7 linked regions of the Ovis aries genome follow. The protein of the gene in region 1 purifies or fractionates together with the protein of each later gene. This does not show direct contact. Links are inferred from orthologs where the notes say so. Each region holds a gene or a part of one and is shown in the gene's direction. Other genes may lie near its edges. The genes, in order: RC3H1, CNOT2, LARP1, ubiquitin-like protein FUBI, YBX3, CNOT9 and CNOT1.

The links.
Region 2: the proteins of RC3H1 (region 1) and CNOT2 purify together in Homo sapiens (affinity purification with mass spectrometry, with the first as the bait; 3 studies listed by BioGRID). This does not show direct contact. The link is inferred for Ovis aries from reciprocal best matches to the Homo sapiens genes RC3H1 and CNOT2.
Region 3: the proteins of RC3H1 (region 1) and LARP1 purify together in Homo sapiens (affinity purification with mass spectrometry, with the first as the bait; 3 studies listed by BioGRID). This does not show direct contact. The link is inferred for Ovis aries from reciprocal best matches to the Homo sapiens genes RC3H1 and LARP1.
Region 4: the proteins of RC3H1 (region 1) and ubiquitin-like protein FUBI purify together in Homo sapiens (affinity purification with mass spectrometry; 3 studies listed by BioGRID, with this or other methods). This does not show direct contact. The link is inferred for Ovis aries from reciprocal best matches to the Homo sapiens genes RC3H1 and FAU.
Region 5: the proteins of RC3H1 (region 1) and YBX3 purify together in Homo sapiens (affinity purification with mass spectrometry, with the first as the bait; 3 studies listed by BioGRID). This does not show direct contact. The link is inferred for Ovis aries from reciprocal best matches to the Homo sapiens genes RC3H1 and YBX3.
Region 6: the proteins of RC3H1 (region 1) and CNOT9 purify together in Homo sapiens (affinity purification with mass spectrometry, with the first as the bait; 4 studies listed by BioGRID). This does not show direct contact. The link is inferred for Ovis aries from reciprocal best matches to the Homo sapiens genes RC3H1 and CNOT9.
Region 7: the proteins of RC3H1 (region 1) and CNOT1 purify together in Homo sapiens (affinity purification with mass spectrometry; 5 studies listed by BioGRID, with this or other methods). This does not show direct contact. The link is inferred for Ovis aries from reciprocal best matches to the Homo sapiens genes RC3H1 and CNOT1.

What each region holds. Positions count from the first base shown.
Region 1 is NC_056065.1:54,645,553-54,649,691, reverse strand, and holds part of RC3H1 (roquin-1), read left to right. Parts: intron 1-808; coding exon 809-959; 3' UTR 960-4,139. UniProt on the Homo sapiens protein: Post-transcriptional repressor of mRNAs containing a conserved stem loop motif, called constitutive decay element (CDE), which is often located in the 3'-UTR, as in HMGXB3, ICOS, IER3, NFKBID, NFKBIZ, PPP1R10, TNF, TNFRSF4 and in many more mRNAs.
Region 2 is NC_056056.1:149,556,015-149,560,776, reverse strand, and holds the start of CNOT2 (CCR4-NOT transcription complex subunit 2), read left to right. Parts: upstream 1-1,666; 5' UTR 1,667-1,709; coding exon 1,710-1,714; intron 1,715-1,976; exon of another isoform or gene 1,977-2,568; intron 2,569-4,762. UniProt on the Homo sapiens protein: Component of the CCR4-NOT complex which is one of the major cellular mRNA deadenylases and is linked to various cellular processes including bulk mRNA degradation, miRNA-mediated repression, translational repression during translational initiation and general transcription regulation.
Region 3 is NC_056058.1:63,733,498-63,738,374, forward strand, and holds the start of LARP1 (la-related protein 1), read left to right. Parts: upstream 1-1,796; 5' UTR 1,797-2,237; coding exon 2,238-2,676; intron 2,677-4,877. UniProt on the Homo sapiens protein: RNA-binding protein that regulates the translation of specific target mRNA species downstream of the mTORC1 complex, in function of growth signals and nutrient availability.
Region 4 is NC_056054.1:227,146,048-227,148,893, reverse strand, and holds ubiquitin-like protein FUBI, read left to right. Parts: upstream 1-1,516; 5' UTR 1,517-1,576; coding exon 1,577-1,978; 3' UTR 1,979-2,052; downstream 2,053-2,846.
Region 5 is NC_056056.1:204,574,854-204,578,992, forward strand, and holds part of YBX3 (Y-box-binding protein 3), read left to right. Parts: intron 1-645; coding exon 646-768; intron 769-3,719; coding exon 3,720-3,923; intron 3,924-4,139. UniProt on the Homo sapiens protein: Binds to the GM-CSF promoter. Seems to act as a repressor. Also binds to full-length mRNA and to short RNA sequences containing the consensus site 5'-UCCAUCA-3'. May have a role in translation repression.
Region 6 is NC_056055.1:220,543,272-220,548,172, forward strand, and holds the start of CNOT9 (CCR4-NOT transcription complex subunit 9), read left to right. Parts: upstream 1-1,663; 5' UTR 1,664-1,801; coding exon 1,802-1,825; intron 1,826-4,901. UniProt on the Homo sapiens protein: Component of the CCR4-NOT complex which is one of the major cellular mRNA deadenylases and is linked to various cellular processes including bulk mRNA degradation, miRNA-mediated repression, translational repression during translational initiation and general transcription regulation.
Region 7 is NC_056067.1:25,973,320-25,978,035, reverse strand, and holds the start of CNOT1 (CCR4-NOT transcription complex subunit 1), read left to right. Parts: upstream 1-1,406; 5' UTR 1,407-1,505; intron 1,506-4,716.

The sequences.
Region 1 (4,139 bases):
TCTAGGAAATGAAAATTTCTGCTTCGATCTCCTTCTTCCCCTTAAAACCATTGTTAACATTTTGATGTCTATATACCCTTAAGTGTGCAGGCATTTAGCCTCTTTCACCCACATATCCCCTGTTCTATCCCTCCTGGTTTTTAATTTGGTCTATCCATATCACCCATTAGTCTTCTACAGGTACAGAAGAATACATATCAACTATTACGAACAACCCTGCAAAAAATATATTGTAGTTAATTCTTTGTACATCTTGAACCTTAGGATATTTTGCAGCTAGGGCACTTTGAGGCTTTTAATGCATAGTCCTGAGTTGCCTTCCTGATGATATACAACAATTTCTGATGCTCTGTTGCTTCCAGGCTTAAGTTTTTGTCTGTTTAAATCCATGTGTTATCTTGTCCTAGTAAACCTGCTAAAGCAGGGGTCAGCATTTTTCCTAAAGGCCAAATAGTGAATATTTAAAATTATTAGTCTTACTATCCATGTCAGAACTCTCAGTTCTGCTGTTGTAATGTGAAAGCAGTCATAGACAATATGTAAACAGATGGGCAGGCTGTATTCCAATAAAACTTTGTTATAGAAACAGCTCAACAAAACAAAAACCAGTCACCTAGCTTGTCTTAGTTTGCCAGCCCATATGCTAAAATAAAGCATGGATATAGAGCTGTAAATTAAAGTTTGAAAGCCATTCATGTATTTTCCATAGTGCTATATAGAAAGGCCCTGTTGATTTTATTCTATTAATAACCAGTTTTCTCTCCTCTTTTAAAATTCCAACTCTTTTTTTTTTTTTTAATGTTAACAGTGACGTGCCTAATGGATCAGCATTGACACAAGAGAATATCAGCCTCCTGTCCAACAAGACCAGCTCTCTGAACCTGTCAGAGGACCCTGAGGGAGGAGGGGACAATAATGACTCCCAGAGATCAGGAGTTACATCCAGTTCTACTCCCTAAAATATGAGGAGTCCTACCTTTATCTTCTGCTCCTAACCAGTCTGTGGGGCATAGGGGTAGGAGAACAGATAACTTCTTAAACTTTCTCTGAGAGTGGTCAGAGAAATCCAGGAAAAGCACCGGAGGCAATGTGCACAAACATCACTACTAAAAACAAACTCTGCACATAGTTCACATTAATGCATTTTTTAATTTAAAGAAAAAGAAAATTAGCAGTATCTGCAAGCAATTCAGATTAAATTTGTTTTTGTTCTGTGAATGAACTTTATTTTAATAACTTTGGACGCCTTGGATCCAGGGCTTTAAAAAAAAAAGAAGATATTATATATACACTCTGTTTGATTAATTGTATGATCTTAATGAAGTAGATTTTTCTTGTATTTTGGTATTATTACATACCCAGTGTATAATTCCGTACCCCCAGTCCTCTCACAACCCCATAAATTACCACAGACTAAAAGACCCCGGCCATTCTGAGAATTCTGTGGTGCTTGAGAAATAGTAATAGACTAGTTATTAGAAAATGTGCAGCAGAGCAACTTTTCCAAGAGCCATTATTTGGAAGCCATAATTTGCTTTCTTTCTGGGTCACAAGCTTCATGTGTAGGGAGGTTTTTCATATGGCATTAAAACTTTTTGTTGTTGCTCAGGAGGACTTTATTTCTTGTTTTTGTGTTTATTTCAGCTTTTCTGAGAAATAATTACCAATTCATTTTTGAAGACCTCATTTTCATATCATGAACCGCTTTCATTCTCTTAATGTAATCAGAAATCCAAGTCAATTTTAGAGTGCTTGATTAGATTTAAATGGAAATTATTTTAAGGATGAACTATAATTTTATTAGCACTGGAAATACATATTTAGTTTATTACCTATATTGAGCTAATGACTGGAAATTCAGAGCAATGCTTTCCCAAGTTCAATTTCTGAAATCATAGAATGTTCAAAAACCAGGACAATCCACCATATTTTAAAACTGCTCAACACTTGATTGAACTTAAAATGAGCAGAGCCACATTATTTCAATGAATGTTTTGTTTTACTCTCAAAAACCAAAAGTACAAAATTCCTATATACTGGAGCCCCTGGCTTTCAAGGAGATTTGGCAAATGAGAACTGCCTAAATCTTAAGGATAGTTTACAAATTGATCAGTAGTTGCCTTTTGGAACCATTAGCACAAGTAGGTAGGTAGTAAGTACCTAGAAGTCAATTTTGTAGACTTGGCTTCACTATACTGAAAAGACTCTTCATGAAAATGTTGAAGAGAATAAGGAATAATTTTTCTAATTTAATTCTGCTGCACATATTCTGATGCCACATGTCTATACTGAACTAAAACCATATAAAATGTGTTTAGTGGGGATTATTTGACATAGTCACCCACCGTATATGTTTGCCTGATTTTCTAGAAATTTCCTTTTCTGGATTATACTGCTAAAACAGAAAGCACTGGTTATGTAATAAGTTACTGCATTGCTTTGGTTGGGTAAAAGCAAGAGTTTGTATTTTTCTTGTTTCTTATTTTCTTAACCCGTAACTCCTGCTGAGGTCATAACCACCTCAGTCTAAGCTCTGTGTCTATCATACTATTAAATGAAACAATTGGGGGGTAAGGGAGGGGGGAGGGTAATACAGTCCTGCCATTGCCTACCAGTAGGAGAGTCCAAACAGAACACTCTTTTGAGTAGCAATTATTTAATTTGCCCAGTCAAGGCACCGTGTTTATATACTATTTCACATTGAATTTGATTATGCCCTACAGACCTGGCTGGTCAAGGATTTGATATACACATATTGGCTTGGGATTCGAGCTTTCTTTTTTATTTAAATAAAAATTTATATATATATATTATATATATACATATATACATAGCTATATCTGTATATATATTGGGTATGTTTTATGGATTTTTTCGCATGAGCGCAGCTGTTGCGATAAAATGACTGATTGGGAGGTAGAAGCACTGAATGAAGATGAGGCATTTTATCAGTTGATATCCATATTTTCCTATTTTTAAAAAATACATTTGCTTTTTTGCCTTTTTTCATTTATTTTGCTTAAAACCCTCTTACATTTACTATTTAAGTACTTATTGTTTTGGGGAGGAGAAGGAGAGAAATTTTATGTCTGACAGAGTCCTGAGATCTTTAATTTCTCTCTCTAACCATAAAAGGCAACATTCTTGGCCTCTAACCTTCTGTAGGCAGATTTGGGCAGATCTTATTTCTCCTTTGGACATGTTAGATAATTCCTAAATTTTAGGAGCAGTTGGTTCAGTTTGGAATTCAGAATGATTCCGGTATTAAAAAGAAATTTATGGATGTTGATTTTGTTGAAATATGGAGTAAAAGTAAAATTCCATTTTGGGTATCTATTGAAACCCCTAATAACTTAAGTTCTGTTGTTATTGTTTATTTCCTTCAAATACAGTCATTCTTTCACCATTTTGATTTTCTAAGCTAGGTAGAAAGAGAGATTAATTTATGTTTTCCTGTTCTGAATAAAACCAGAAAGCCACTGTTTTAGACTGACTTAAAATAGTCTCTCTTTTTAAGGTATTTTCATGGAGTGAGGATGGGGGATCTCTTAAATTAGCCTTAATTCTGTCTATACCTCTCTAATACTCCACCCTTGAGAGGAAATCTGGGTGGGTAGAACAGCAAGAGGAAGGTATACTGTCCCACTGTGCCTGTAAGATGAACCTATAGTGGTCAATGGCCTGTTTTGGCAAAACCGTTTGACTTTTTAACTGCTTTTTTCTTAAAATCTGTGAAAGATACTGACTTTTCTGGCTTCTTAGATTTATTCCCCGAGACAGTTAAAACGATGAAGCCAGTCAGATAGGAAATTCCATCTTTAGGCTTTTTACTTATTCAAATGTTAATTTCTTCTGAATTAAAAGGCAATACTCAGACATCTGATGGAAGTGAACACTTTTGAAGGGTTAAGGTAGGAGTAATAAGCATTGCTTTCAGTTCTGTTTGGATAACACCATAATTTTATTATAACCAGAGTATAAAAGTACTTTGACCTTTTCTTTATTCAGTGGGTCTTAGGAAAAGGGTAGAAGAACTGAGAATAAGATATCTAGACTCAATTTTCTGACCTATATGTAGTTTTTTCTTCTTACAGATACTGTCATAAGTTCAATAGCTGCCATGTCTTGGGTAATTTACA
Region 2 (4,762 bases), on another chromosome or scaffold:
TCCAACTTTTCTCATTTTATCTTACAATTCCAAATATCAGTTAGACTTTCAATTTATTAATAGCTAAATTAAAAAGCTCAGTAATACACAGATATATGTATTAATATGTACTTAAAGGTATTTAATCTTTTAACACACCATCTTACAAAGTTGAAGAGAAAGATGAAGAGGCAGGAAGGAACTGTTGGGGGAAAGGGAGGAAAAAGGGAGGGAAGGACATAAGAAGATTTGCTCCTTCTTGAATTTTCCCAAAGTAAAAAAGAACACAATGAAGCAGAATGTTTAATAAAACGAACAACCAGGCAAACATTTTCTACTGGCTACATCAGCATCACCTAAGAGTTTAAATAAATTCACACAGGATCTACTAATTCATGGAAATACTTGGTAACTTATGAACATAGAAGTCATCTATAATTTAACAGTACGCTTATTTTTCCTGCTATTTTTGACTGACAGATGTCCTTTTCCCTTCAGTTATAAATTTGAAATTGGATTACAGTCAGTTTTTGGAAGGATGATTTTATAAAAGAAACAAAACAAGGGAAGTAGAAACTTTATTTACCCCAAATAAAGTGTACTTTACATTAGTAAATTCTATAACTCAACTAGAAAGGAAGTAACAATTTTCACTTTATGAAACTATACGATTCCTAATACAGATGCAAATGCTCTTTTTCAGGCCCAAAAATATCAAGCAAGAGGGAAGAGTTGAGCAATATACAAACGAATAGAGAGAGAGTTATTATTTCAAAGAAAACTAATTTTACTTTGAGCAACAATTATTTTTCTGGGAAGCAGAGACTCTGCTGAAGTTTCCAAAAAAGCCATCGTAATTTCAGATGGTCTCGCTGATAGCCCAGGCAGTCACTCCAGCTTACGTGGGCATTGGGGAGTGAGAATGAGAAAATGCTATTAGTCTGACTCAGGAAAGCTCAACCAACAGAGTTTCAAAAACCTGCCCCCTCCCTCAATACGCTCCCTCCCAAAAAGTTAAAATAATAATAAAATAGGAAGCGTGACGAGTTAAAATACCAACGGTTTCGGCTGACGATCACTCACTTCTCAGAAAGTGATGGTGACGTGCTGCTGGTCCCTGGAAGTGCGCGCACAAGCACCGGAGGGTTCGGGGTCTGAAGGAAGAAAACTGGACAGCGATCAGATGCGTTTCAGGGAGCAGAGGGAGGGAGGGCCGGTACTAGGCAGACGACGGGGGTAGAGGGGTGGGGGATGAAGTGCTGAACACAAACACAAACACGTTCCGAGTCCCCGGGAAGGGCGGACCGACGCCACCTCACCATTCCCCGCCCCTGGACCCCGCGATCCTTCCCGGACCTAGGGCCCGTGGCCCGCGCGAAGCAACCTGGACCCAGGGGAGCCTAGCGGCAGCAGAGTTCCTACTCGCTGTAACGACTGCGGAGTAGCTACGAGCCTCCCGGTGAGTCGGTGAGAGAGAAGGTGGGGGCCGCGAGGAGGAAAGCGAGGTACTGAAGGGCCCCTCCGAGTACCCTCTCCAACGCGTGAGAAACAGACTACCCAACCCCAACTCTGTCCGGTCCACAGTCGCCGCTCCCCTCTTCCGCCGCCGCCGCCTGGAGGGAAGTCGGAACGGCGGGGGTCACGGCGGGGGTCAGAGGGTAAAGGTCTTGCTCCCAGCAGCCTCCGCGGTGGATACGTCGCCATCTTGGATCCGCGGGACAAGAAAATTCATGCGGTGAGTTTTTGGCAAATTTTCGGAAGTCTGGCAGCGGGGCGCGCGGCGGGAGCGGCGGATTCGGGGCCCTCGCAAGGCGGGGGAATGCCTCGGGGCCGGGCCGGTCGCGCCCGGGGTCCGCGGGCAGCGTCCCGGCCCGCCGCTTCCCGTTGCTTTTGTCTCGGCTCCAATCGAGAGAGGGAGAGCGGAGCGGGCGGGGAAGGGGGGGTGGTGGCGGTGGAGGGAGGGAGGGGGTGTGTATAGGGAGGGTGGTGGACGGGACGTAAAGCGTCGCTGTAGTCGGGTAGCTGCAGCGGCAGTTCTGGATCCTAGGCCCTGTCCCTTCGGCTGGCGCTGGGGCTTCCCCCAGACTCCTCTCCCCCGGGCTCCCGCCAGCACGGAGAAGCCTCCGCCGCGCTGCTTCTTGGGGAAGAAGAGAAGGCGACAGCGGCGGTGGCCAAGGACCCCGGGCCCGCTTTAGACGGCGCTGCCGCCTTCCCAGCAGTTGCCCCGGTCTTTGGCATTTCACATTCTCAATACACGTACATCATCTGCAACTTGTCTGTTTCTGTGTATGTATATGTGAAAGATGGGGGATCCTGGACTGGCTAACGGGTCTCAGGAGCTGCCAGGCCCTGGGGTACCGAAGGCTGTGTATGGTGGAAGGAGGAGTGCAACTGTGATGCTTCCTCTGCTTCCGCACCCGGAGGGTGAAGCTTCCGTAGTCTGGTAGTGACTGAGTCCGGAGAGTCCTGGGGCGGCGGAGGAACCCGAAACGCCTCGGTCTGTGAAGTTGCGAGCCCTAGGTTTCTACTTCCGCCGGGGCCTCTCCACCTTTTGCTGTCTTGAGTCTAACTGAAAAGTTCACGGAAGAAGTGAGTAGGGTTAAAACTTAGTTCAGGCTCTTGTCCGTTTAGGAGAAAAAGCCTCTAACTCTTGGTAACTGTGGTCCTTAGCGAATATGAGGTTTTTTGTTTTTGTTTTTAATGAGAACATTTCCAAGGTCTTAAGTTTGCATTTCTTTCAGGCCCTGTGGGTACGATATTACAACCATAAAAGTCTTACATACGGGTGCCACCCTCTTGAGAGGAACCTAAGCATCAACTCTCTTAGAATCTGAGCAGATGCCTTCAGTTTTTAACATCCAGAAGACGGAATGCAATACATTTTGTTTCATAAAACTCTTGGTCAGAGAATTCTATTCCTTTCTTAATCTTCTAGTCGTTTTCTAATAATTAAATACATTGATAGCAACCCTTGGATTCTTGGTGAAATGGTAGGAAGCACCTAGTTAGAATCTGTCACGAGGGAGGCCTTGCTTGAATTTAGAGTTCAAAGCTGAACAAATTTTCTGTCATGCTTGATATTAGGAATTTCTAGACCTCTGGAATCGTTAAGTGCAGCTTTATTTGCCCCTTAAAACAACTTAAGTGGAAGTAATAAATACGGAGGCAGGGGATAGAAATTTGAAAATATTTGTTTACATACTGGGTTTATGTTGTTTGTAAATACTTAGTATATTTGACAAGTTCTCAAACGTGTTACCAGTGAACACGTCTCTCTTGCAACTTTGGAAGATAACTTTGTCCTAGGTGTAAGGAGTTGGTTAAGAATCGCAGTGGTCTGAAATGACTAAATGGCTACATTCAGACAGTTTGATGTGTACATTCAGATCTCTTTTCCTGAAATACTCCTTAGTAGATCAAGATCTTTAGTTAACTTTGTCGTGTTGAACATCTCTTCAGTTTGTAGTTCTTGTGTAATATTAAACCTAAAGGAAAAATACAAGATACATGTAAAAAGAAGAGAACTTGTGTTCCACTTGTTTCTTGACCTTTTAAGATCCTCATTTAATTTTAAAAAGGTTCTTTTCTCTCATTTTTTCCCCTGCTTGAGGGCTTGAAGTCCAGTGACTTCTGTGATTACTTTGTATTTTAGATAGAAATTGAGAAACTCACATTTTGGCATCTTGATTAATGCTGCAACAATAAAAATACTGTGAGCATCGTTTTTTGGCAGAACCCTTTTATTATAAGTATACTGTATAAAGATATCTGTAACCTAATCTGATACTCTTGGGGAATTAGAATTGCTTATATATTTAACCAACCAACAGATACAGCCTTTTAAAGATTTTTAGTTTCTGAAATACTTTAGTTTTAAAGTAAATTTTTGTGGCAGAAAAATGAGAGCATAATGCATGAGTGATTCATGTTCCCTTCCATTTCGAATTACTTGATCTTGAAGATAAAATAAACTTCAGAATGATATTCCTCCCCGAGACCTAGTTACTTATGTTTTTACTTAATAACTTTAGATGTTTAATTTACTCTTTGATTTCTCAGAGATACTTCACAGTTAGTTATAATCTGAAAATTCTTTGTTCAAAAGTAATTACTTAGATTTATGAGTAGATTTTATTAGAAGTGCTTCTAACCCAGTTGTTTTGGTTTTTAATCTTTTCAGTAGATACTGGTATTAAAAGTATTTGTATTTTGAAAGACCTTTGCAAAGTCTTTTGCAACCTCTGGGAAATGATAGGTTTACCTTTTCATTCACAAATATGCTTCATAAGATTTTCTAATAATGTGCGAAAAGAAAAAGTATGCTTCATGTTTACATATGAAATAATACTAGACGTTACTAGATTGATAAAAATAAGTCAACTTTTTTTTTTTTTTTGGCTTGTTAAAAGCAGTGTTAAACAGTATTTTTTAATTGTCTTAACATTTTTAACTGTAGAAAGTTCATTCTGTTATAATTACATATTTAAAAGCAAACTGTCCATGTACTTGCTTATTAGGCATGAGAACAACTTATGCAAATAGTGATACAATGTTAGGAAAAGATACTACTAAGATTTTATTTGTTACTTAGACATCTAGTAGATGTTGTGACACAAAGAAGCAAAAGAAGCCAAGGTTCCAGGTAGGGCCTCTTTAGAGGCAGAGTTAAACTGAGTTGCACTGTAATGTTGGAATAGAATCACACACACTACTGATATCATAGTATTGATAACAAAGGAATCATTTTGGTTGATGATAGGTGTGATTGTTCTTCCTTTACTAT
Region 3 (4,877 bases), on another chromosome or scaffold:
TGACAGTGTACAATAATTTACCTTCTGATTAAGGTTATATATAATGTAACAACAAAGAATCTGTTTTAATTCATCAAGATCCCTTTAATCATTTAATCATTTTCTTCTTTGTATCTCTTTTGAAGCACTGGCCTCAGTCTCTATAATTTACATAGTACTTTGTTTGACTGAAGTTGTCTCACTTGTCTCCTCACAAAAGCTGAGAGGTTAGAAGCAAGTCAAGCATAATTTATCCTCATTTGTCTACCAGGGAAGGGGCTCCAGTGAAGTGCTGAGAGCTGGCCAAGGTGTGGACACCACGTTATGGAAGAGTTGGGACCACACATCAGATTGTCTGGTTGTCCCCACCAGCACCTCTCCCCAGTGGTCCTGGTTACAACCACCCTACAACTAACCTCACCCCTTGGGGGCAGTTTCAAAAGGCTGATTTTCAATAAGCCTTCTTTGTCCAGCAGGTCATGTGTTCTAATTCTTTTGGAGATGGCTAACACTCTTGGCTGTTATGTCTTGAGCAGGTGATATCATAGCCAGCCAGAGGCCAGGACTCCTCCAAGTGAAGTGTGGGACCACAAGCACCAACAGGGTTCTTGCTAAACATGTAGTTTCTTGGTCCAATCCCAGACATACCTGATTCCAAATACTTTGGAATCTGCATTCAAGGTTTTCCCTCATCATCCAAACTAAAGTAACTGATCTAGTGACCTACTGCGGTAGTAGCTACTGTCTTCATAGATATGAGACAAGCTCTTGTTCATAAGTTTGTTTTACTCTTTCTCCACCTCAGAATGCAAATTCCATGAGGTCCTTGCAAGCCTTGTTTTTTCCAAGCCTTGTCCCTAGAAACCCCCCACAGTAAATATTTAATTGAATGTGCACTAAAATTTGAAACCACTGTCTTCATTTTATAATAGGGAAACTGAGACCCAACTAATGCAGAGTTGGTAAGGGGCAGGACCAGGGTCAGGATAAAATCTCGGATCTCGAGAGTTCCAATTCGGCGTTGGTTCGTCTCTGGCCCAAGCAATTCTTATAAAAACTGAAGTCCATTTGAGGGAGGGGGAAAAAAAAAAAAAGACATTTCTCGCCCATAAATACTAAGTTTCAGGGCTTGGCCGGGTTGGGGGCTGTTGGTAATTTCCTGCTCACTTCCGAGACGCCCGATGCCCCCAAGGGTTAAAGACCCGTCTTCTAGGCCAGGTGTCCGCACAGTGACCTGGCCAGGGCTGCCTGGGAGGAGCCGAGCACAGTCCGCGGAGGTGAGGCCGGCTCACCCAAGGTCACCCAGGCGGGGCCTGGAGGGGCCAGGCCTATGGCACGCAAGTAAGGCGACAGCACCCCCACCCCATCATCCTGTAAGCTTAGGGTGATATTAATGGCTCTTTCCCCAGATTCTGGCGCACCCAGCCTAAAGAGCAGGAGCAGGCCCCGCCAGCCGCGTGGCGCGGTCCCATGTGCTCCACCTGCGGACGCTCTCACGCGCTGGCTCTTTAAGACACTTCCCCCTCTTTATACCACCCGGTCTCTCCTACCCGGCTTGCTGACCGCCCCCCCTTCCGAATTGTATCAGGCACGTGCTCGCCCCGGTCCGGTTTGAGTACCCCTCACCCACCAGCCGGGGAGGTGCACCGAGGAATCGGAGGCCAGGGGCGGGACCAGGGGCGGGGCCGCGAGGCCCTGCGCGCGCGCTCCCGCCGCCTTCGCCCGCCCGTCGCCCAGGGCCAGCCCCGGCGGGCGCGCCCCCGTTGCGCCGTCCCCTCCCCTTGCCCGCTGCGTCGCGAGGCGCGCGCCCGCCCGCCGCCTGCCGCGGATCGCGTGGTCAGCTCGGCTCGCCGCGCCTCTCCCCCGTCCGTCCATATTGCTGCAGCCCCCGTGCCGGGAAGCCCGGGCCGCCCCGGGGGCGGGGGGGAGGGAGGGACGGGACGAGAAGCCTGCCAGGCTCCGGGTGGGGGCTCCTTGCGAGGAACGGGCGGGGGGGGACGCGCGCCGAGGAGGCCTGGACCGCAGAGTGGGGGGCCTTCCTCCCCCCCCCCCCCCGCCCCGCCAGCGGGCCTTGGATCTACGGCGGCTGCATCCGACCGGGAGGGGGGGCCGTGCCTAGCGTGAACCCCGACCCTTCTCCGCCGGGACTGGGGCCCAGCGCCCCGGAGGAAGGCGTCGCGGGCTCTCTGAGAGCCAAGTTCGAGGCGGGGGAGGCAGCCTCGGGCGCGCCCGGCTTCTCCGGGGGGGCGGGCGCGCAGATGGCCACTCAGGTGGAGCCGCTGCTGCCGGGGGGCGCCCCGCTCTTGCAGGCCGAAGATCACGGGGGTCTGGTGAGGAAGAAGCCGCTGCCGCCGCCCGAGGGCAAGGGCGAGCCGGGGGCGAACGACGTCGGAGGCGGGGAGCCGGACGGCGGCACCCGAAGACCTCGGCCGCCCTGCGCCAAGCAGCACAGGGAAGGCACCGGGCAGCTGGAGCGCGAGAGCCCGCGGCCGCCGCAGCCGCCCGGCGCCGAGGGCCTGGCCGTCAGCGACGGGGAGGAGGGCGGCGGCGGCGAGCCGGGCGCTGGCGGAGGAGCTGCTGGAGCCGCGGGCGCCGGGCGCCGAGACTTCGTGGAGGCCCCTCCGCCCAAGGTGAACCCGTGGACTAAGAACGCGCTGCCACCGGTCCTGGCCACCGTGAACGGACAGTCTCCTCCAGGTGGGTCTCCGTTTGGTATTCCGGGACCGGGGGCCTCTTCCGGGGACATAGGCGTCCCCTCCCCCAGCGGCCTCCAGGGCCCGGGGGTCCGCCGCAGTGGGTCGTGGTGACTCGGGTTTTTTTTTTTTTTTTCCATTATCCTGGCTAATTCAGGTCGCCGTGCCCTGCCCCCCCCCCCCCCCCCCCCCCCCCCACCCCAGCACACTCGGGAACCTGCCCCTGCCGCAGGGCCCGGCCTCCAGGAGGCTACGGCCACCGCCTGGGCCGCAGCGGTTAGTGGGCAACGGCGTGGTCCCGGCCTATCTCGCGGGGAGAGGGGCGGGCGCTGGTTTCGGTGAAAGGGGCCCTCCCCCCCGCCCCCACCGCGTGTCTGTGTGAGAGACGGTTTCTTGCCTGAACCTTCCTCGGGAAGCCCCCTCCGCCCCCCCGCCCCGTGTTCCTCGTTTTGGTAGCGTTGCTATCGTCCCCGTGTTGTAAATGTTTAATGAGTATATGTCATAGGCAGCAAAACGCCCGGCGATGAGTGCATACCGACCACACAGATTCGGGATTTAAAAGTTAACAAGTTTGTTCTCGAGTAGATGGTGTTAGGCGGTAGAATGGCCGTGGGCGACGGCTCGAGGGGTCGGTTACGGGGAGAATGGGGAGAAGAGGAAACCCAACGTGTCATTGAATTCGGTGCTTTCCCTCGCCTGATCCTGGGGACCTTCCGCCTTGTGAGGGAGCCGGATGGCGAGTGTGCGGGGCGTCCAGTGAGGGGAAATGTGAGGCGAGTAAGGGGGCATGCAGCGACTCGAGGGGCGTGTGGCGGCGGGGGAGGGAGTGGCCGGGCCAGGCCGGACGGGCGGGTGACAGTTGGGCGCCATGCGCCGCGCCGCCGGCCCGCGGGCTGCTCGCGGCCGCTCGGCCTGGGCGTTCGGCGGTCGCCGCGGCGCTCGGGGCGGAAGGCGGGTGCGGGCGGCGCGGTCGGGAGTGTGCGTGTGCGCGGGTGTGAGTGCGCGTCCCCCCTTCCCGGCATTCCTCCGCAGCCGGGACAACGTGGTGCCTCCCCGCGCGGCTGGCGGCATGTGACCGCCGAGCGGCGCGCCCTCCCTCTCCCTCCTCGACTTCTTTGGGTCCTTTCGGACCCGGCCTCTCGGGGGAGGTGGGTGTGCGGGAAGTCCCCGCAGAGCCTTGTTGGTGGGGGAAGGAGGGTAAGGAATATGGAGTCTCCGCCAGGCCTTCCTTTGCCGAAAATAGATCTTCGCCTTTGGTGGGGGGCGCGCCCGCCCTGCTCCCTTTGCCGGCCCGTAGAGACACCCTGGGGCTGGATTCTTGGGTTCAGGATCTTCTTGCAGTGAGCCGGTATTAAAACCCAATTGGAGCTACTACGATGGCCTGTGGCCATAGCCCTACGGCTTTTTCAGAACTCCTCCCCTTCTGCTTGAGACTGACTGGTTTAAACCATCAAAATGAAAAAAAAAAAAAAAAACCATCAAAATGGGGAAAGTTGAAAGGGCAGCTTAATGCTTTCACATTCAAGGGAATAGAATCCCTCGTAGTCCCAGGGAAACCAGAACACCGAATTCTGAAAATGGCATGTTGTAATTTTTATTTCTTTATAAGATTGCTTCATTTGGGGGAGGGGACCTTTGGCTTTTACTAATAGTACCTCAAACCGTGTTCTCTTCCTTTTGCCCTCCTCCCCTTCCCCCCCTTTTCCTTCCAGAACCCTCTTATGCAAAGGGCAGTGCTGAAATCTCCATTTTCTTGCAAATCTCTCCTGATCCACCCACGGAGGGAGGAAAAGCAATTTGAAGATACTCTTTGGTCCTTCCCCCCTCTTTAAACTCAGGGTATAATCATCCGGAGGAGAGAGCACTCCTCAGAAGTTTAAATGGGGCTACTCACTCTGGCTGCTGCTGCTCTGCTAATGGTGAACCTGCCTTGTGGGTTTTAAATCAGCCATGACATCAGGTGGTGTTGGATGTCTGAGCTGGCATTTTGTGCAAGTCTAGGGGCCCTTGGTAGGGTGCGTCACCGGGGTTATTGATCGTGGGAAGAAGACAGCTTGGCTGGCATCTCGCCTTTACGTCTGAATAGAAAAGCCAACTTGCTTTAAGTGCCCAAAGCAAAATTCTAAGTCCAGTAGACTTACTCTGTTCTTGTTAGGCGAGGAAGTGTCTGGTCTGCTCATTAGTATTGAACCTTCAGAATAGTCT
Region 4 (2,846 bases), on another chromosome or scaffold:
GGTCAGAAATTGGATAAGAAATCAGAGCTATGCATACAGACTCTCAGATTTCTAATAAAGAATATGAAATTGAAGCTGTAATTCAAAATGTGTCTTAAAAAGAAAAGCAGTGAAGAATGGGGAAGCAGAGTGAAACTTGAAGAAAACACATAAAGTTTAGGAGAATGTAATCTAGTAAAGAAACTAGTGAAGTGGCATTTAGAGAAGTTAGAAACAGCTCAAGAACGTGCATCTATCAGAAGCTAAGAAAGAAGTGAGTTTCAAAAGTGACGAGTACAGTCTCCCAAGGCAATAGAAATAAGAACAAAACTAAACAAACGGGACTTAAACAAACTTACAAGCCTCTGTGCAGCAAAGGAAACCATAAACACCAAAGATAGCCTATGGAATGGGAGAAAGTATTTGTAAATGATGTGATTGACAAAGGCTTAATTTCCAAAATATACAAACAGCTCATACAACTCAATAACCAAAAAGCAAATAACCCTATCCAAAAATGGGCAGAAGACCTAAATAGACATTTCTTCAAAAGACATGCAGATGGCCAATAGGCACATGAAAAGATGATCAACTTAGAGAAATGCAGATCAAACCTACAGTGACCTCACACCTGTCAGAATGGCCATCATTAAAAAGTCTACAAGTAATAAATTGTGGAGAGGTGTGGAGAAAAGGAAACCCTCCTACACTGTTACTGGGAATGCAAGTTGATGCAGCTATTATGGAAAACAATAAGGAGGGTTCTCAGAAAGCTAAAAATAGAATTACCATATGATCCAGCAATCCCACTTTTGGGCGTAAAACTGTAATTCAAAAAGATACACGAACCTCTGTATTCACAGCAGCACTATTGACAATAGCCAAGACATGGAAGCAACCTAAATGTCCATCAACAGACGAACGGATAAAGAAGCTGGGGTCCATATATACAACACAACACAGCTCAGCCATAAGGAAGAACAAACGAATGCCATTTACAGCAAAATGGATGCAGCTAGAGATGATCATACTCAGTGAAGTCAGAAAGAGACAAATACCTATGATATCACTTATATGTGGAAACTAAATTATAACAAATGAACAAATCTTTGAAACAGAATCACAAATACAGAGATCAGACTTCTGGTCGCCAGGAAGTAAGGAGTTGAGGGAGAGATGGTATAGGAAGTCGGGGTTAGCAGATACACGCTTTAATATGTAGAATGGATAAGCAACAAAGTCTTCCGGTATAGCACAGAGATCTATAGTCAGTATCCTATGATAAATCCTAATGGACAAGAATTTTTAAAAAAGAATGCATATATGTGTATAGTTGAATTACTTTGTCATACAGCAGATACTGACACAACAGTGTAAATCAACTGTACTTCAACTTAAAAAATCACACGCACAGATGTGACCAGTAAAATCCAACAAGCACATGACAAGTAAGTAATCAGATATATAAGGCAAATCGAGAAAAAAGGCAAGAAGGCCAGTGAATTTGGCAACAACAAAATGTTGTTAGAAGCCTTTAGCTCTTTCTCGACTCCATCTTCGCGGTAGCGGCAGCGGTGTCCGCGATCTAGTCGCCAACATGCAGCTCTTTGTCCGTGCCCAGGAGCTACACACTCTCGAGGTGACCGGCCAGGAGACGGTCGCCCAAATCAAGGCTCATGTAGCTTCGTTGGAGGGCATCGCTCCAGAAGATCAAGTCCTGCTCCTGGCTGGCACGCCCCTAGAGGATGAGGCTACTCTGGGCCAGTGTGGGGTGGAGGCTCTGAGTACTCTGGAAGTAGCCGGCCGCATGCTTGGAGGTAAAGTCCATGGTTCCCTGGCCCGTGCTGGGAGAGTGAGAGGTCAGACTCCCAAGGTGGCCAAGCAAGAGAAGAAGAAGAAGAAGACGGGCAGGGCCAAGAGCCGTATGCAGTACAACTGGCGCTTTGTCAATGTTGTGCCCACCTTTGGCAAGAAGAAGGGCCCTAATGCTAACTCCTAAGTCCTCTGTAATCTTGGCTTTCTCTAATAAAGCCACTTAACCCGATTAAAAAAAAAAAAAAAAAGAAGAAGCCTTTAAAAGTACATTTCCAGTGAAATAATTTGTTTTTTACATTTCTATATATATTCACTGCATTGATTTCTAACAAAAACTGTTTCCCAATAGGTAGCCTTTTGCCATTTTTATAAGACTCACTGGAGATATTTACCAATTAAAAACAATCATTTGGATTGATTCCACCTGGAATCATTTTAAGACTTTTGCTTAAAACACAGTAGCCTTGTGTAGAGCACGTTTTTTGTTGTTGTTTCCCTGAAAGAATTTTATTTTTTTAATGCCACTGGCATTTAATTTTTGAGGTTGCTAAAAATATTTTGTATTCCATTATAAGTTTCTCTTCTTCTTTGACTCCTTTTTAGAAAGAAAAAAAAAACAACCGTTTATTTTGTATTGGGGTGTTGCTGATCAACAGTGTTGTGACAGTTTCAGGTGAACAGCCAAGGGACTCAGCCATACATATACATGGATCCATTTTCCCCCCAAATCCCCTACCATTCAGGCTGCCATATAACACCGAGCAGAGCACATTCTTAAATAAATCACTTAATCACTGGATTTTATTTTTCTTTCTGTCAACACTTTATAGATCTCAAAGATACAGCTAACTAAAATCTCCTTGATCCATCAATGACCATGGTAAAGGCTATGCTGGGTGCTTTCTTCCAGGGAATGATAAGAATACCAGATTATTTCTCACTTATATGAGGAATCAAAAATGAAACCCACAGCTCATATAAACAGAAAACAGATTGGTGATTGTAGAGGCAGAGTTATGTGCAGCATAACAACTGTAGTTAATATTTAGTTA
Region 5 (4,139 bases), on another chromosome or scaffold:
GGCTATGTCTGTTTCGACAATCAGATCTGAAGAGGGACTACTTTAGTGGACACTGTATGAAAGCAGGAGCTGAGTCAGCAGCCCTTCATTCCTGCCATTGCCACTGGGAGGAATTTCTCTCTCACTAGCTCAGTGCTGGACAGACCACGTGAGCCCATGAGTGGATTCTCTTGGTACCTCACAGAGTAACAGGTTTCCGTATTTTCTAGGAAGAGAACATTATCTCAGTTATTTCCAGTGAAGAATATTCTTCCTGGTCTGGCATTCCTTTGCTCCAGTTGCTTTATATTTACCAGTTTTGCATTTCTTAAAGAAATATATATACATATTGCTCTTGAATCAAGAGAGCAGAGGTTGTGGAAGCACGCAAGCCGTATAGACATCCATTATTTTTTTAACTTTTTACTTTATATTGCAGCATAGTTGATAAACAGTGTTGTGTCAGGCGTCATGCTGTATACATTTAAATCAGGACATCAAGCATCTTGCTCACCTTATTAAAACGAGGGTGTGTTTTTGAGGTCACCTGTAGGAACTTCTAGTACCTCTTGCCAGTCTTAAACCCTCTGGCTGTCTAAGGCGGTGCTTTCGGTCGTTTGGCTTCTTTCTGACTCGAAGGCCGTCTTTGCTTTCTTCCTTTCTCAGGGTGCAGAAGCAGCCAACGTGACCGGCCCGGATGGCGTTCCAGTGGAAGGGAGCCGATATGCTGCTGACCGGCGCCGCTACAGACGCGGCTACTATGGCCGGCGCCGTGGACCGCCCCGCAATGTACGTTGTCTCCTTCATCATCAGTGACCCAAGAAATGTGCACATCTAAAATTAAGTGTGTATGTTTGAAGCACATAAAAGCTGTATCTTCTGCTGGAAACACAGTGATTTTTTTGGATGGGAAATTTTTCATGTTCAGAATTCATCCCCACTGGGCTTATGCGACATTTTTGCCATTCAGCAGTTTTATCCGTTTGTTTGCATTTGGCTGCAAGTAACAGCCATTTAATTATCATGTAACAAGAAGGCTTAACTTGGGCCATGCCAAGGTTGTCAAAAAGGTTTTTTCTTCTTTTGGCTCCTTTATCGGCCAGAACCGAACCATGTGACATCCACTGGGTGGGGTAGGGAGAAGGGGCCTGGGATTTCTGTGATTGGCTTACATCTGGTGTTCATCCCTTGGCGCTGACCCTGTTTATTTCTAAAGTCAGCCTTTCCTTGGCAAGGAATAGTGAGGAACAGCTCTGGAGTAAGTGATGGACAGTGCTGGCCACAGAAATATTAAGTGATTTGCCTCAATTATGTAACTTTTATTTAGGATAGCATTTCCCATTATTTCAAAGTTAAGCAACAATTAAGTCTGAATTTTTAGTCCTGTAGATTGGTACCAATCTAAGTGAAAGGGTTTACAACCAAGTCTGGCTGCAGGAGGCTCAGTTTAAAGTATTCTTGAGGCATCCAACTTGTGGTCATGAGGACCCTCTTAGATATGAGTCATTTTTTAATGTTTCTAGAATTAGTACCCGGGATTGGTACTCTGGAATAAAACTCAAGATGCTTTGTGAACACAGGATTGTGGCTATGTGCGTCATCCAGGGAAAACTTTTGAAAAAAGTCTCACCAGAATGAAGTATTTGCAGACTGAGAATGGTTTATATCTCTACACTTTGATAGAATAGTATGTTTCTGCTTACCTAAATGTTTCCTCTCTTCATTGTGTCATCTTAAACATGCAGCCCAAATTGGTTTTTATCAGATTCCATGTGATATCTTGTTTTTCTTCCTGTATTTCTCTTACCCATGTTTTGCTTATCCTGTTTAATTTTTAATAATAAACTGTGTCAGAGACAGTAGGAATAGGCTACCATAGCATCTACTACGTTGTGTTAACTCTTTCAGGTTCACCAGATTCACGGAACACTAGTTGTAATTGTTTTGATTTCTAGGTTACCTCAGAAGTACAAGTGGTAAAAAGCCTTTAGTGAAAAATTTTCCTTCAAAGACGTTTCTCCTCAGCTCGAAATTCTGAAGTCATGTGTGTGACGTTTAGAAACAAAATTATCAAAATTCTGAAAATCAACATAAATGAAGGTTTTCTGTTGTGATGTCTTCTAGGTCCTGACAGCTTCCTGAGTGTGTTTGGCAATGGTGGTGCCATTGTTGTTATTTTGTAAAACTAATCTTAATGAAAGATTTGGCTATAGAAAACTCAGATACAGAGAAACCTAAAGAGAAAATTTATAGTTTATTTAGTCACACTATTTGGCAGAACATTTTCTATGCTAATATGCCTTTAAATCATTGGAGACTGTATCTGATATAGATTTTATAAAGTATAGAGTTACTTGGATTTTCTGAAATTAGACTAGTTGAGGCTATGCTTGAAGCTTTTCCTCTTTGAGAATTTTGTTGCTCATGTGGGCTTGGTTTTCTGGAGAGTTCTAAATCTTAAATACTCTCACCCCCAACATCAGTCATTTAATTTTCTTCATTCTAAGTTTGTTCATTTTTTAAAAGCTATAGTTACTTTACTTAAGACTACCTTTGGCATTGCAATTCCCCTTTAAAGTAAGATTTGAAATAATTCTTTAAGGGATGTTTAGCTGTTTGCTTATATTTTTTGATATAAAATGTTAGTATGTGAAATGGTAGTTTAAATACAGGGAAAAGACAAAATGAATCAATAATTCCTTGTGTTAATAAAGTTTGTTATATTCAGAAACTGTATTTATTACTTGCTACTATGTATTAAAGTGCAATTAAAACTTTATTCCTAAACAAATAAAGAGAGGTATGCCATAAGTCAGTGGTTCTCAAACCTTCTGGTTTTTGGACCCATTTATATGCTTAATTATGGGATGCCAGAGTTTTTATGTATATTTATATCTATTAATACTTATTGTATTGGAAAGTAAAGCAGAATTTAAAAGATTTGATTTATTTTAAAATAAGCTATTACTTGAAATACAAATAACTTTTTTTTAATGAAAGCTAATTTTTAATTGAATGAAAAGAGTGGTGTTGCTTTAGGTTTTTGCCAATCACTGATGTTGGTTTAATAAAAGACAGCTGGTTTCTTACAGCTCCTTCTGCCTTGGTGCTGTGAGGGACCATGTGTCACTGTAGCTTCTGGGAGATCCAACCCCCCTCCTGCCCCCAACTCAGGAGAGAATGAGATGGGAAAAGACAGCATCCTGCCAGCCTTATGAGAATAGTTTGACCTTGATGACCCCCTAAGAAGGATTTCAGAGACCCTCATCCACACTTTGAGAACCCAACCACTCCAGGAAGCAAACCACTTAGGACCAACCACAAAATATACAAAACATATTTTTCTTTACTTTGCCCCAGTAGATGACCAGTGTTGGGGAGACACATTTGGTGGAGCCAAATATTCTAAACTGTGTAAATGTTTTTTGGGTGGTTAGTCAACTGATACTGACATTCTAACTAGATGCGAACTAAATTCTTTAGCGATTAATTGCACTTGCTTTTCTGCTTCTTGGTATTTTATCTGCATAGATCTGCTTTAATGTTAATGTAGCTTATCTCAGGTCATCACCTGATGATCCGGGGTAAATGCATTTTTGTCGATATACTAGAAGGGATCGTTCCTTTGGGGGAGAATTTTTTGTTTGTTTGTTTGTTTCGTTGATACTCAGCCTAAATGGTATTCTTTGCTTCTTTCCCTGCCGACACCTCTCTGAACCTCTGTTTCTTTGCTTCGCTAGTACGCTGGGGAGGAGGAGGAGGAAGGGAGCGGCAGCAGTGAAGGACTGGAGGCCCCCGCCGCTGCCGGGCAGTTCTCTGGGGCCCGGAGTCAGCCGCGCCGCCCCCAGTACCGCCCCCAGTACCGGCGGCGCTTCCCGCCTTACCACGTGGGACAGACCTTTGACCGCCGCTCCCGGGTCTTCCCCCATCCCAGCAGAATGCAGGTAAACCAGCACCTGGGACTTCTCTCCGGCAGTCCTCACCCCTCCGTCCTTCCTCTGCCTACTCTTCCTCCTCCTCTTCCAATACCAGCGGCCGGAAATCAAACCTTGCTTTTGGCTTCTCGATGCTGACGCTACTTAACCCAAGCAGACTAGTCTGCTCTTTGAGACTGGTCCTTCTAGTCTCATTTCTAAAGGCACGACCACATGAGCCTTGAG
Region 6 (4,901 bases), on another chromosome or scaffold:
TATGATCATCGATTACTTTGATGTCAACAAGCTTTTCAGTCATTTGTCTTTACCTTTCAACAGAATTCAACATCATTGATAACTTCATCTTTTCTGCAAAACTTGTACTCCTCTATCAGGTTACTAAACACCAAGAATCCCTCAGCGCTCCATCCTAGGTCCCTTTCCTTTTTAGCAATGCACTCTCCTCAGGCAATTTCATCCACATCCATGGCTTCAATTACTATCAATTACTTCAATTACTATCAACTATATATAGGTGATGTCTATATACATACACACACACACACATTTATCTATACACCCAGCTTACAACTAAGCTCCAACCCCAGTATAATCCAATTGCCTACTTGACATCCTCTGTTCAGACAGCTCTTCCAGTTAGAGGCATGTCAGACACTGCCACCCCCAAGAGGCATTTACACAGAGCCTAAATTTTGAAAGGATTACAAAACCACCCACAGACCAACTTTCTAGACAGAGGATTTTGTCATAAATTATTATTTCCTTTCACAGATCATGACCTAAAATAGGTAAACCTGACAACCTGATTTGATGGCTAGAGATGGGGAACAACCAAAGGCACGAAAAAAAATATAATCTATGCCTTTGAGTGAAAGATGACTAGGAGAGAGGTGAAGAATAGCCAAGAAAGTGAAACAGTATCATATCCCAAGGCCCGATGGACATGCGGCAACGGAAGTCACCTGAAGAGATAGCAGGCCTCGCTAAAGGGCGAGTGACGGACAACAACAGCCCCCAGCAAAGAGGGGCCAGGTTTGGGTCACGGGGGGCAGCGAGTGACAGTAAAGACCCGGTCAAAGGAGAGGAAAAGCCTAGGGGAACACACAAGTGGAGTACCTGTGAGGCGACAGAGGGCGTCGCGGGAACGGGGGTGGGCTGAACCGCAGCCGGTGAACTCCAAAAGAGTGAACGCCGAGTGGGCGGACCGCACGGGGCGAGAAGTGAGGGGCGGGGGGGGGCAGGGTAAAACGGCTCCGTTGAGACGCTCGCCGGGCCCGCCTTACCTGTACCTGCGAGTCGGAGCTTTGGACAGGCCTGCCGGAAGCACGGAGTCCGCGTGGAGAGGGAGGAGCTGGGGGTCGCGAAGGAAGGGACGCCGGGCACGGAGAGGGGCCGCTCAGTCCCCCAGTTAGGGAGAGCGGCTGATGGCGGGAACTGTGACCACACGCAAACACGCACGCACGCACGCACACCCGACGCGACCAGGAGTAGCGCGTGCGCGCAAGCCTGGAAACTCCGCCCTTTCTACGCCCTCTCTCCGCCCCAGTACCGGGCGAAATCACGCCGAGGTAGCCCCGCCCCTGCCCGGACCGTAGTACGCACGCGCACTCTCTACTTCACGCACTTTTCGCCTTCCTACCATTTCCCTCCTACAGAGTCCAGTTGGGCATGCGCACTGTTGTCCTCCCGGTCTGCCCGGTTTTTCCCGCCCTTCACTGGCCTCCGGAGGAAGGTCAGAGTTCACGCCCTTCTCTGGAGATACCAGCTCCAAGCTGGGGATGGGGGAGACTAGCAGGAGGCGGGTGTCCTTCCGGTCTTGAAATTTCAGGGGCAAAACAGACTCGAGGATTAACTCCAGGAGCTGGGGGGGGTGGGGCGGGAAGAGGTTGTGTGGGCGGGGTCAGAGGTGAAAGGTCAGAGGGCTGCGGAGGGGGCGGAGCGAGCCGGAGGCGGATGGCGGCTGCGGCGTGTCATCATCTTCGGCGGCTGAGGCGCTGAAGCTGGGACGCGGCTTGGCGCGTCCGGCAGTGGGAGGAGAGCGGCGTCCTCTCCCAACATGCACAGTCTGGCGACGGCTGCGGTAAGTGACTGGGCCGCCCAGCCTGGGCCCCAGACCTCTCCTCAACCCCGCGTTTCGGCCTTTTCTCCTAGCTCCGTGTGGCAGGCTAAGAGTCCTCCAGCCCTCAACCCGCGAAGACCCGGCCCCCCTCCTCGCTGAGCTTGGCTGTGACGGAGCCTGCCCTCACTCTCCCTGCCGGCCGGCTCTCGCGGCCTCTGGCTCGGTGTAGCGCGTTCTTTTCCGGCCCCGGGGCCTGGTCGCGCGGCTGGAGCGCCTCCCTTGCGGCCCAGGGGGGCCATTCATTGATTCATTGCTCTACCAACAGTTTTAGGCCGCCGTTTGCGTGCTTGGCGTTGGCGGGGACGAGGGGACTTCCGAGGTGCATCTGACCCTCCCTGCCTAGGCACATCGCGGCGGGGAGGAAACGGCCTCTAGCTTAAACCACTTGCTCTACAGATACAAAATCCGAGACCTGAACAAGTGACTAGTTAGGATGTCTGACTTACGGTTCTCTGCGTTTAAAACCTTTTTTCATACATCTCTTTTTACCAGCGTGATCTTTGATCAAGAAAAACAGTGTAAACTCCTAATAACCATGCACTGTGGCTCAGAGGGTAGAGTCTGCCTGCAATGCGGGAGACCTGGGTTCGATCCCTGGGTCGGGAAGGTCCCCTGGAGAAGGAGATGACAACCCAGTCCAGTATTCTTGCCTGGAAAATCCCATGGACTGAGGAGCCTGGCAGGCTACGTACAGTCCGTGGGGTCGCACAGAGGTGGACACGACTGAGCGACAAACACACAACCTAGCTAAAGTAATCCTGAGGTTTCCCGTTTTGTTGAGATAAAACCCAAACACTTTGCATTGCCTACAAGGCCCTCCCTGAGCGTTAATGTTCCTTACCCCTGTTTTCAGTCTCATCACATTGCTTTGCAGGCTCCAGCTACAACTGGCCGCCGTTCCAACTTTTCTACTTAAGCTTTAACCAAGTTTTGATTCATTTACTTCTTATTTGTCCCCCTTTTGAGGTCAGGGACAGGGATCATGTAGATCCTGTTTATATGACTACTTCAGTGCCAGGACAGTTCCTGGCACCAAGTAAGGGCTCAAATATTTTTGCTGAATGCCGGGGTATTGATGAGGGCAGTGACCACTGAGAGCAAATAGCTGTGATGGGCAGACAGTATCATGTGATTTGAGCATACTCTTCGGAATGCTTATCCAACTTTTTTCAGTTGCATCAAGGCGAAGTGGCTTAAAGAGAGAATAATATACTGAAGTTGCATTTCCAGGTAAAATGACATAAATCCTTAATAGAAGACAAAAGTTAAAGTTTAAAAGTGAGTTGGGTGTGACTAGGTTACAGACAGCCTTGTCATTTCCAGGGCTAGTGGCATCTCTGCCTCCTGGCACCTTCTTTCTAAAGTGTTTGAAACTTAACAGGGTGAGGTACCTTTTATATAATCTCTTAACTAGGTGACTGCAGTTTCTCCAGCTTTTTTGTTTCTTCCACATTTTACATGTAATACAACAGTAAAGAATCTGCCTGCAATGCAGGAGACCTGGGTTTGATCCCTGGGTCAGGAAGACCCCTTGTAGAAGGGAATGGTTACCCATTCCAGTATTCTTGCCTGGATAATTCCATGGACAGAGGGTTTGCAAAGAGTTGGACAGGACTCAGTGACTAACATGAGAAGAAGCCAGTCAGAAAATGAGGTTGCTGCTGTTTGGAGGGGACAGTTTAAACAAAGAATTCTAAGGTTGGCTTGTCTATGTCTCAGAATCTGATTGTGACTTCTCTAGGTTTTGATACCAAGCTGCTGTTTGCCCTGTGCCTCCCCAGTCTCTACCTATTCAACTTTTCTTTTCAGTTGCTCCCTAATACATCTTTCAAACAGCCATTAGAGCTCTGGTTCATTACTTAAAATATTCAATGCATGTTTCTTCAATTAAATTTACAGTGACTACCTTTATTAAGAAATTGAACTTTTGGTGTTTTTTTTCACCCGTTTTGCTATTTGGACTACACAAACGCTCTAAGTTCATTTGTACTATTTATTCACTGGAATATTTGGTTAATAAAGAGAATGAAGCAAAAAAAAGTTGAGCCACCCCTTTCCCAATCCTTAGTGCCTTCCTTTAGGCTAAACTGACTGTATTGTTCTCATCTGGTTAAAGGGACACTGATGGTGTATCAGCTCAGTTCAGTCGCTCGGTCACGTCTGACCCGATGGACTGTGGCACGCCAGGCCTCAGTGTCCATCACCAACTCCTGAGCTTACTCAAACTCATGTCCGTTGAGTCAGTGATGCCATCCAGCCATCTCATCCTCTGATGGTGTATATTCCTCACTAAAAATTGTGTCAATAAGACATCCAACAGTGCCTACAATAATCTAAACTGCTTGAGAAGATGCTTGCTTTCTGTCTAACGATGAAAATTTGTGTTTGTGTATACCTTTTATTTTTTAATTGCAAATAAATAATGACTTCATCTAGGGAGGCAGTAGTATCAAAGGAGAATGTGATCACATATGAATGCAGTATGTTATTCACTGATTGGAGGAATTGAGATCATTTGGGATATCTTAAATATTGACTCTTGATATTTTATTATGCCAATAATTTCAAGTAGGTTGGACTCTTCATTCTTTACAGAATACTTCGTCCTAATGTCTTCATTATTGCCATCACAGAATATAATTACGTTCTCAAATCTAACAAAATAAAAACAGAAGTACCACACAGGATTGTATTAAATAAGAATAAGAAAGTGCTAGCCGGTGATGGACAGGGAGGCCTGGCGTGCTGCGATTCGTGGGGTTGCAGAGTCAGACACGACTGGGCAACTGAACAGTGGTTGACTGGGTTCATTCACTGGTTAAATGACTTGCTCCCAGAATTCAGCCTTCGGACTCTAATTCTTGCATCAGCAAAGTAACAAATCACTTGCTATGGACCTTGAAGGTTGGTTCAGCTTAACAGAACCACAGATTTTCACGTATACCATGAATCTTCTGTAATGAATGTTATGCTAGTGATCTAAAACAGCCAAAAGTAAGCCTTTAGGAGATGCACTGTGTATGCTCTTTTTTAAATT
Region 7 (4,716 bases), on another chromosome or scaffold:
AGGGACTCTCACGAGTCTTCACCAACACCACAGTTCAAAAGCATCAATTCTTGGGCGCTCAGCTTTCTTCACAGTCCAACTCTCACATCCATACAGGACCACTGGAAAAACCATAGCCTTGACTAGACGGACCTTTGTTGGCAAAGTAATGTCTCTGCTTTTGAATATGCTATCTAGGTTGGTCATAACTTTTCTTTCAAGGAGTAAGCGTCTTTTAATTTCATGGTTGCAATCACCATCTGCAGTGATTTTGGAGCCCAAAAAAGATAAAGTCTGACACTGTTTCCACTGTTTCCCCATCGATTTCCCATGAAGCGATGGGACCAGATGCCATGATCTTCGTTTTCTGAATGTTGAGCTTTAAGCCAACTTCTTCACTCTCCTCCCTCACTTCGCTGGATACAGGTGACCACAAAATCTTTTTTTAACCACAAAATCTTAAAAAAGATGTTTCTACATTTTTTTCTCCCGACAGCAAAGGGCATAAGTATTCCTTCTGCTACCACTAACAGGGACTAAGCCAAACAAAGAACCCGAGAGTTTCCTATTTCTCCGTAGGGAGTGCCTTCTTCCAGAGGCAGAACTAGACAGGAAAGTTCTCCTGACCGGAGCATGAGAGGACCAAATGGGACTACGTTCTCCAGAATGCATTGCTCTTCCTGGGGCGTCGTAAATGAGGGAGGAACTCGCACTACTTTTGCGACAGGGATGGGCGGAGGGGGAGGACTACACATCCCAGGATGCAAAGCGCCAGAGCGCTAGTTAGAGCCTCGCTTGCTTGTAGTTTTCTGGTAACCGGCGTTCCCCGCCAAAGAGACGCGGGGCAGGACGGGAGTGTTTAAGATTGGGAATCCCCGTGGTCTACCGGACACTTGACACTTCGAAAGAGAAAGGAGAGTACTGGAAGGCTGTTTTTCACTCTAACTCATAATAGTTCCCGCGCAAGGTGGAGAAGGCTTAAGGGCCCCCTCCTTTATTTAGTGTTTCTCAGAGGCTTTGCCAGACCCCCATTGGTCGAGGATCTCGAGGGCAGGTGGGAAGTCCATGAAGCCCCAAATCGAAGTTATCTGCTTCTCCCCATTGGCCCTCGCCTCGAGCGCAGGCGCGAGGGCTCCGACTCCAGTCCCTGGGGACTGGTGAACGGCAATTGGCCAAAGCCCGCGAAGTAGGAGTCTGGATTGGTAGTTGCTAGCAGGAGCCTGGTTTCTTCCTTGACTTCTGCAAGTGATAGTGTGTGATTGGTTTAAATCCGCGGGCACCTGTCGATGATTGGGCGGGAGCCACAGGCGGGGTGCGCTCATTGGCTGGTGCTGGGTCCATCCCTTCTCGGGCGGGCAGCAAATGATGAAATAGGAACGGGGAGGGGAAAGGCCGCGACGTGAGCGCGCGACCTCCGGCGCCATTTTGTAGAGAAACAAGCGGAGTTAACCGAAGAGGGGGTCTAGGAGAACCGGAGTCGGGGACCCAGGAGTTTCCTGTGTCCAGCGCCGTCGGAGCCGCTTGAGGTGTGGTGGGCTGGGGTCGGGTGCCGAGGCCGACAGGCGGTGTCAGCTACGGAACTTGGGTGCCGGTGCGGGAAGGAACGGGGGTGGTCCCGGGGCCACTGGGAGCGTTTCCCGGGGCTCCGAGGTGTGAGGGGCAGTCGGGACGGGGAAGTGGCGAGGCGGGAGAGGGCGGACTGTCTCCCCTCGGCCCGCGGAGTCTTCGGCCTCTGGAGAGAAGAGGGCTTGGTGAAAGCTCTAGGAAACCGAGGGCAGAGCGCGGAATGAGACCCGGGATTGGCCCCCCCTTGCCCGGGCCTGGCGGCTCTGAGGGCGGTGTTGGCGGCACTTGGGGGCGGCTGGGCCCTCGCTTCGCGCGGACTGCACCCTTCGCAGACTCCACGAGCTTCTCAACTGCCGGATGGGTGCTGCGGGCATCGGCCTCGGAGGCCTAGCTCCGGGGAGGCGGGGGGGGCGAGGTGCCCGTGTTCGGAGTAGTTGCCGACTCCGGGTTCCTCTCGGTGGACCTGGAGCTGCCAGTCCCCCTCCCCCGCCCCCAGCACGTTGTCAAACCCCGGGTGTTTCGGGTGTCCGCCGGTGGGAGGGGCGGGCGGGAGCGAGCACTTCCTCATTACTTCTTGCCACAGGTTTTGTTCCACTCGCGCGCCCGGGCGCTCACTCAGTCTCCAGAGTCGGCCCCCACCCACCTGGCTCAGTGTCTGTTCTGTAGTAGTGGTGCTACTCGCCCAGGAGAAGAGCTCTCGTAGTGAGCCGAGCATTTGGGAGGCCTCCGTGAGAGATACTATGGGTCTCCAGGGGGTTACATAAGGCCAAAAGCACAAATGTTCTTTTTCAGTCCCACCCCCTCTGCAGATTTCACCCAAGTGGGTTCCCACAGATGAGTACCCTTCCTAGGATTAAACTTTAATGCTTGATGTCTGTGGGTTTGGAGATGTGTTTAAAATAAACTTTGAGCAGGAAGCTTTTCCCTTTGAAGTCACTCAAACATCACATATTTTAGGACTCTTAAAAGTTTTTTTTCCTGAGAGTATTAACTCTTAGTCTCTCTTTTTATTTCTCTGTAATTCAGTTGCCTTGGGGAGTTTAACAGTTAATAACTGAGTGAGCATAGTTGGTTACTTTTTGCGGAGAAAATTCTGAGTGTTTACCTCGTGACAGTCCGTTTGATAGGAGTAGGGATACACGGATGGAAAAATGATTGGACAAATACAAAATCAGGAAGTAGGTCAAACAGATTAAGAACAAACTTGTTTATGTAGAAGTATTTGGGCTTAATATCCTCAGGTTGTCATATCTGTCCTTCCAGAGATTTGGCAGTGTAGTATTTTAGCTCTTAATAAGATATTTGGTAACAGTTTAAATTATCCTGTTTTAGGACATTCCAAATTGTTACCTTGTCTAAGGAGAAAATGAGCTGATGATACATAACGTTGTAGGCATCTAGTTGTGCTTTGAAATGGTCGCATGATAATACTTGTTTGGAGAGTTGGTCCCTTTTCAACAAGTGAAGGGTCCCAATTCCTTCCGTGGAAACAAGGCAGAGATTTGACCATCAGTAACAACGTCTTACCCTCTTCTTGCCTAAGATTGTAATCTTAGCAGTTTTAAGGCACCTTTTTCTGGCATTATTGTGGAACAACTGAAATGCTTTTGGTTCCTAACTCAAATGGATCTCTGGCTTAGCCAGAGAGAAATACAGTCTCTTAGATTTCTGCTGGGGTTTTAAGTACTGGTCTCTTTAATATGGATCTTGTCAGGCTAAGTACCGTAATGTCCTCCTAACTTTGGGTTAAGTCATTAAAAAAAAAAAAACAGAAGAGGAAATGCTTATTTCTTGACAGTATGCTTAAAGACTAATATCAAATTTGCTTGAATGTTCCTTTTTCCAAGTATATTTTTGGTTAGCTCCTGATCTAGTTACGAGAAGTTTCTTTTTAACCAACTTAAGTTTATGAATTTATGAACTTGAATCTTTATTTCATTCTACTGTGTAACAAATCTTTGTTACTCAATACTATGGAAGAGAATTTACCTACAGTAATTTAAATTGGATGCCCAGATTTTTCAAGACACTTATTTTTGGTAAGATGTTTATGATTCTTGAATTGTCAAAATTTGGAGAAGGCAGTGGCACCCCACTTCAGTACTCTTGCCTAGAGAATCCCGTGGATGGAGGAGCCTGGTGGGCTGTAGTCTGTGGGTCGCTAAGAGTTGGACACAACTGAGCGACTTCACTTTGACTTTTCATTTCCATGCATTGGAGAAGGAAATGGCAACTCACTCCAGCGTTCTTGCCTGGAGAATCCCGGGTCGGGGTGGGGGGCTGGTGGGCTGCTATCTGTGGGGTCACACAGAGTTGGACACGACTGAAGTGACTTAGCAGCAGCAGCAGTACCAGTCATAAACTTGGTGTTTGGTTTTTTTTTTGGTAAGAAAGCAAAACTAACTTGTAAGTCATTAAAAAAATATTGGTTGAAGCATTTAACTGGCCCTCTTTCCAAACTGAACTTCCTGTGGGGAAGTTTCAAAATGGCATCCTACTGAGTCTTATTTTAAGACCTTATATAAAGAAAGATCATGCAGTTCCTTTCCTATTTGCTCACAATGTTTAAGAAGCATATTTCAAAGCTAAAATGGGCTCAAATCCTTCATCCTTTTATGTACACAATAGTTAATTTTAAGGTACTTTTCATTCATGTATTTGCGGGAACGTAGCAAAGCAAATAAAACAAATTATTCGTTGAAAAACTCGTTTGAGAAGTCAGTAGAAGTGTAGACTTAATTTGAAATCCTGTGTTAAGATTTGAAGGAAATACAGCCTTTGGGAGTATGGAGTATAGGTTTGAGAAATGCATTTCTGGAAAAAAAAATGCATTTCTACCTCTAGGCTAAATTAGAATGTTGAAAGAGATGTTAAAGTGTCTGCAGTGGAGGTGTAGGTTTTGTTGTTGTGGGTTTTTTTGTTTTTGTTTTGTGGTGTTGGACTAATTATATGAAATGTAAAGTGAAAGCATTATTTGAAAGATACCATTTTATTGCTCTTAAGCTTCCTATTAAGAGCTCAACACTTCCCCTTTTAGATAATTAGTTTGAAAGTTTGTCACCTTGGATTTAGAGCTCTTAGGTTTGAAATGCAGCGGTACTGTTAATTTTTTTGTGAACTCATAATCAGAATAGTTACTTCTTTGTTTCAGACCCTGTCTTTTTTGCATTA